2 linked regions of the Caenorhabditis elegans genome follow. The protein of the gene in region 1 interacts with the protein of each later gene in a pairwise test. Each region holds a gene or a part of one and is shown in the gene's direction. Other genes may lie near its edges.

The links. Proteins that work in one complex are often made in the same cells at the same time.
Region 2: the proteins of nlp-7 (region 1) and C01B4.8 interact in a two-hybrid assay, tested with the Caenorhabditis elegans proteins (one large-scale study listed by BioGRID).

What each region holds. Positions count from the first base shown.
Region 1 is NC_003284.9:8,591,424-8,594,670, forward strand, and holds nlp-7 (Neuropeptide-like protein 7), read left to right. Parts: upstream 1-1,757; 5' UTR 1,758-1,771; coding exon 1,772-1,839; intron 1,840-1,987; coding exon 1,988-2,020; intron 2,021-2,070; coding exon 2,071-2,190; intron 2,191-2,243; coding exon 2,244-2,388; 3' UTR 2,389-2,396; coding exon of another isoform or gene 2,397-2,427; 3' UTR 2,428-2,613; downstream 2,614-3,247. UniProt on the Caenorhabditis elegans protein: May regulate lifespan in response to food availability and oxidative stress.
Region 2 is NC_003283.11:2,488,409-2,492,165, forward strand, and holds the start of C01B4.8 (Major facilitator superfamily (MFS) profile domain-containing protein), read left to right. Parts: upstream 1-2,103; coding exon 2,104-2,225; intron 2,226-2,882; coding exon 2,883-3,757.

The sequences.
Region 1 (3,247 bases):
TCACTTCAGTTCATTTATGGTTTCAGTTGTATAGTTTTGTAGTTAATCCATTTCCTTCAAAATTGTGTATAAGGAAATGTCAATCATCTTGTATTTAGTAATTGAGAAATATCCAGGACATTGTTTCTCGATTATGCTCCACTTGATTGATAACTATTATGTAAATTCTCATGATTATTTATTCCTTATTAGTTACATAATTTCCGATTAACAACCACATATCGGTAGTATTGAAAGACATGAATTACTATAGAAATTTGTCTAGACAAACGTTTTCATATTCAATTTTTTAGAATTTGTTGTTTGGAAAACCTTAGTCGGAAAAATCTAAAAGTGCCCGTAAGAAGATCAAATTAAATTGTTCGAACCATTGTACTGCTTCCCACTCCATCTTCCTCGGATTGTTTTTAATGACACAATTCGCATTATTCTTGTTAACTCTTTCTTCCTTCTACTCTTTGTAAACGGAAGAAAGAGAAGAGCAATTCAAAAGCTACTATTTCATGTTTTGCAATGAATCAGTGCAAATGACACGACCTACGTAATTACATGTTTCATGGGAATGAAAAAGTTAAGTCTACGTACATACTCCCCCACTTGCAGACTCTTCACGAGGGTGGTTCACGTGTAGGACAACTTAGCAATTCATTCACAATCCTTTGAGTTCTTCTTCCCTCTTCTTATCAATTTTTAATTACTTCAGCCTCCTTTTTTTGGTTCTAGGTTCTATGGACAGCGTCTAAAATAGATATATGATTTTTTTTACCAGCATAAGACATGACTCAAGTGTAAATCGTCTTTTTTTTTAATCAGCGAACTCGGTTATTAGTGATTATTTTTCACAATATTGTTAAAGTAAATTCAAGCAACAAGTTCTGCTTTAAAATTTCTAATCATTTTTTTTTGTATGTGGCTCCACTTTCCGACATTCTGAACTTTCCTGTCAAACTTTCTCCGAATCAAAATCAATCTGTGTTCTCAGTGAACCAAGACATGTGCATAAATGGTCGGTTTAAATTGGAATGCAATGTGATGTGCAGTTTTAATCTGCGAACCAATCTCGTTTTTCTTTTTTTTTTTCGGCAGACAGATTCTCAACGGAATAGTGAGTGGGAAAAGGGAAGATCAAAGGAACGGGCCCAATTTTTTATTGCACTCTCCCGGTCTTTTTTTTCAACCTTGTATTCGTGATTTGGTTTGTTTTGGCTCAAGATTTACGACATGATGTCAATCGGTTTTGACTCGGTGTTCTTTTTCATCCCTCTCTCCAGCTATACCTCTCGGTGCTCCTCTATACAACGGCGGTCCCGCCTTTTTTTCTCAACGTGGTGGGCACATAACAAGAGACAGAGGAATCGAAATCTTCAGTTTGACAATTTTCATAACTAATCCTATCCATTGGCGGATTACAAGGTGGTGTGAGGGGTGGCGTGGCTGAAGACAACCGAGCACCATGAGCTCCGCCCTCTACTAGTGGTCTTCATTTCGTTTTCAATCAAGCCCAGTGTGCTTATCAATCATTTCCTTTCCTGTCCAGCTTTCAACATTCTAGAAGTTTTCACCCAGTATTTCCACCTGTCACTTTTCCCACTCCCACTTGCTCTGATATATTCAACTCATGTATATATGACCTGACCTGATATGTGCTGAGATTTTATTTTGGGATGATGTTTCGTGTTTCATTTCTCACATGATCTCCCATCATTAGTATTCCTCCTTCGTTAACCTCTCTGTTTAGCCTATCACCATAAAGTTTATTTCAGTGGTAATCATGTATATCAAGGCGGCGTTGCTCATTGTGGTTCTCTTCGGTGTTGCTAGTCAAATCACATCTGCTTTGTAAGTCTGCAACATTATATTTGAATGACATCAAAAAATATTGTTGAATTATCGAATGCCAAACAAATAAGTTTCAAATTCCATAGTCTTGAGAGATTCTATTTCAGCGTTTCCAAAAGTTCAAGACCCCTATACTTTTATTTTTCAGGTATTTGAAGCAAGCCGACTTCGATGATCCGAGGTAAGTTAATGTTTTCTTTTTCTGCACTATATGAACACAATTTATTTCAGAATGTTTACATCTTCGTTTGGAAAAAGATCCGCTATTGAGTCAGAGCCACAAGCATATCCAAAGAGCTACCGCGCAATTAGAATTCAACGACGAAGCATGGATGATTTGGACGACCCGAGGTACTAGTACTTGATTTTTGTTTTCTTTGCTTTTTATATAACCTGATTTGCAGATTGATGACAATGTCTTTTGGAAAACGAATGATCCTCCCTTCACTAGCCGATTTGCATAGGTACACTATGTACGACAAACGTGGATCTGATATCGATGACCCTAGGTATTTTCTATTTTCGAACAGGCTTACATGCAGGTGTTAATCTTGCAGATTTTTCTCAGGAGCATTTGGCAGGAAATAACAGGAACACTGGACTGAGTAACTACACCCAAAGTGACATTTTATCAACTATATATCAGTTTGATAATCCAATATTCCGCTATTACATCATCGTCGCACACAAAGTAATAAATTCTTTCGTTGTTTCTTTGAGAATATATTATACATACGAATTAAAGTATCCACCCACAATATAAAAATAATTAAAATAATTTTTCAAATTGAAAATCACGTCATAATGTTAATCTCCTGTGGAATTTCACTATTTTACAAATATCAAGATTAACTTTCTCTGACAAAACATAAATTTTTTTATATCTTTATGTCAGTGAAAATGTCAAGGTGGCAGAGATAAATAGAGATGATAAATGCTAAAAAATGATGTTGCTATAGATCATTGTTTTTAATTCTCAAAATATTAAACTAAAACTCACGTGTGGAAACATACTTGTAACATAAAATAGTTATGTGCTGAAACTAAAACAAATTTCTCTTTTTGGTAATTGTGTATTACATGCCCTCATTTTAATGGTAATTTTTTTAAGTTATGGAAAATAAAAACGTGAACCACACTTTTGTATTTTTAGGCTTAGGATATAACATTTTCTAAGCCTAAAGAGGAAAAATGCATATCACGTTTTATTTAATTGGAGGAGTTAGGGAAAATATAATTTAATTTGAAAATGAGGGCATGTAATACACAAGTACCCTCTTTTTTTTAAATTTCAATACAATGCAAATAACTTTATAGTTCAAAGAAAATATACATATACAAAGTAAAATATAAACGGGAGCAACTATATTCGTATTCTGCCAAAATGTATAGTGCAAGAACTAAAAAC
Region 2 (3,757 bases), on another chromosome or scaffold:
GCCTCCCTTTAATATCGTAGAAGTGGAAAAACAAATGCACTGCAATTGCTTAAAAAATACGAAAAAACCGAAGGAGAACGGGATATCACTGTCACAATTCGAAAAGAAATATTCATTTCAAAAATCGAGATCCCGTAAATCGACACAAGCGCTACAGTAGTCATTTAAAGAGTTACTGTAGTTTTCGCTACGAGATATTTTGCGCGTCAATTGTGTTGTAAAATGTGCATTCTCAGAATATTACAACCCAGTGAAGGAAAAAACTGTCGACCAAGAAGTAATGAGCCGACGAAAAAAGCCGCGAGAGTAGTAGGTTGAGCTTCTTCGGTTTAAATAAAGGATAAAAAATCGTCCCCCCTCTCCCCACGTGGAACAGTGGCGCAACAGTTCGCCCCCCACCGCTAAAGGGGGTCAAATCAAAAGGAGAAGAGCAAATAGATCAAATCAACAGAGAGAGAGATAGGAAAATAATCGTCAGTTTTCAATAAAAATGAAACACTTGAAGCCTTGATCGTGGTGGATGATCGAATGGGGGTAGGCGGAGCGCCTTCTCTGTATGTTTTGATTATTACAACCGAACCACCGATCGTCGGAGAGAAGACAATAGAAGAATTGGAGCGAAATTGGAAAAATGAATGACGAGGAGTCTCACGAGGAGGGGAATCGAGACCATTTTTGTGATGAATCACTAAATTGCACCATAAACAACAGGAAAACAGGCAAAAATCGCAAACTGGATAATATTCAAATTCGAAAGAGGCAGCGGAAAATTCCAAAGGAACGACTTTTTTAATTGAATTCAATTCGAAACGAATCGACTCTGCTCAACAGTTCTTTGTCGACAGTATAAAGGAATTTTCATTTCCCAAGCAGGGGTGCCGCCGAAAATTCTTTGGAAAACCGAAGAATTTTCGTTTTTGGGCAATTTTGACCACTTTTTTCGGTTTTTCAAGAAAGAAAAACCGAAAAACCGGCAGACCTGGGCAATAAATTATTCAACTTATCACCCCCCCCCCCCCCCTGATTATCACGGAGGTAAAAAGAGCACCAAGTGGCACCACGCTTTATCAGTTAGCTCTACCAACATGCACTTTCGATGAAGAGAGCTCCCAACGGCAGCTGGCAAACGGCTGGTATCAGTGGCAAAAAACCTGATAGGGTTATGTCGAACTTGGAGAAATACATCAAATTTTTTCTTGTTCATTCACGAATTGGAAAAGTTTCAGCCACAGTTTGTGTCAGAGATGGGCGGCAATTTTTAGTCGGTAAATCGGCAACTTGCCGGTTTGCCGGAAATTTACAATTCTGCTAATACAATTTGCCGGAAATGTTCAACTCCGGAAATGTGCCTGTTTGCCGGATATTTGAGTTCTGTCAATTTGCTTTCTAATTTTTTTTTTTTAATTTGCTGATTTTCCGGAAAATTCTCCATTCCGGAAATTTGCCGGCAAATTCTCCATTCCGGAAATTTGCCCATTTGCCGGAAAATTGAATTCCGCCAATTTGCCGGAGATTTTCAACTCCGTCAATTTGCCGATTTTCCGGAAATTTCCAATTCCGCCAAATTGCCGATTTGCCGGAAATTTCCAATTCCGCCAATTTGCCAGAAAATTTCAATTCCGTCAATTTGCCGATTTGCTGGAAAAAATCGTTTGCTGTATGTTCAGACACAGATTGTGTTCTATTTCGGGATCAGAGAGTTCAACGGAACACCCAACATCTCTATCATCAAAGAAGTTTTGCCGACACGGAAATTCCTACAGTGCCCCTAAAAAAACTTCCGATCTTCGAAACAAATTTCAGATGACGTGACTTTTCCCGGTATAATGATGCAAAATTACAAAATATTTTTAAGAGCAATAATCCGATCCAGAGTTCAAAATCGTGTGCCAAACACACTCGCACCACAAATCACCTATTCAAAACGTATGCAAATCAGCAGCCAGTGTATCGATAAAAACTGGGGGGAGTTGTTCGACGGTATTCTGATTTCTGTGATTTTTTTGTCATTCTTTTCCTCATGATTTTGAAATGTTCCATTGATTTCTAAAATCTATTAATGTTTTTTTTTCCCCCGTTTCCATTTTTTGATTTAGAGAGAGGATGCGACGAGTCGGCGATGCTGAGGAAAAAATTGAAAAATCAGATGAAATGTCGGAGAATTCCAGGAAGACTTCAAAAATATTGTGTTGCAATCTGACGCGATATTTGATTTTGATTCTGACGTAAGTTTTGAGAATGTTCGATCACTTTATATTACAGGAACAAAAAATTCTGAGATTGCGTATTGCGCAACACAATTGACGCGCAAAATGTCTCGTAGCGAAAACTACAGTAACTCTTTAAATGACTACTGTAGCACTTGTGTCGATTTATGGGGATCTCGATTTTTTTTTTGGCGAATTGTGACAGAACAGCGTTATTCCATTTTCGGGTTGTGTCAAAGTGTCTCATTCCGGCTTGATCTACGTAGATCTACAAAAAATGCGGGAAACGAGACGCAGAGTTCTCAACTGATTTCGCATGGTTAAGAACGTGCTGACGACACAATTTTTTGGAAAAAAAATCCCGCATTTTTGTAGATCAAACCGTGATGGGTCAGCCTAGCACCTTTATTTCTTCGTATTATTTTAGCTTTTTTTTTGGCTCAATTTTACTATTCTATCGATAAATCGATAATTAAGCAAAAAGTGAGAAAATATAACGAAGAAACGAAGGGAAATTCATTTCAAAAATCGAGATCCCGTAAATCGACACCAGCGCTACAGTAGTCACTTAAAGAATTACTGTAGTTTTCGCTACGAGATATTTTGCGCGTCAAATATGTTGCCCAATACGCATTCTCAGAATTCAACGTTCCCATAATACCAAAACTTCTTCAGATTAACATGTCTGACACTGCTCCAAATGAACTCATTGGCGTTCAATTTCACAGTAATCTGTATGTCAGATGTCTCAGACGATTACCATATCACTCATCCAAACGAAACTCATTGGTTTGAAGATAGTAACATGAAATCTCTGGTATTTTCATCGATGGCAGTCGGCGGCCTATTAGGATTATTAATTGCTATGCCATTAATGCATCGAGTCGGTGTTCGTCTAGTATTGAGCATTTGTGGTGTATTCTCAATACTCGGAACCATACTATTCCCGCTAGCTGTCGAGTGGAACTTTTTCAGCGTTCTTGTAGTGCGATTTCTACAAGGATTGGGGATTAGTATGGTCTTTACAGTTCTGGGCTCCGTGCCGACAGCATGGGCTCCAAATAATGAATCTGGCACTTTTTTGGCAGTTCTATCGTGTGCATTCCAGTGGAGTAACGTGATCTGCATGCCAATTTCTGGATTCCTATGTGAATCATCCTGGGGGTGGAGATCGATCTACTACCTCTTCGGAATTGTCACCATAGTATTTTTCCTGGCGTTCTACTTTTTCTACACAGATTCTCCGACAGATCATAGGAATGTTTCGAACAAAGAGTTAAGCCTTATCTTGCAAGATAAGACTGTAACTCATAAGGAACCAGTTCCATATTTGGCTATTTGCAAGGATCCTTGTGTGCTTGTCACTTGGATGTCCAACATCGGTGGAAACCTCGGATTTTTAACCTTGGTACTCTACGGTCCAACCTATTTGCGTGAAGTTTTGAATTTCGAAGTTCGCGGAACTGGCTTCGCTAGTGCTCTTCCATTCTTGCTCTCAGCAGCTGTCAAATCTATAGCCGGACAGCTATCAGATCGCTGTGATTTTGTAT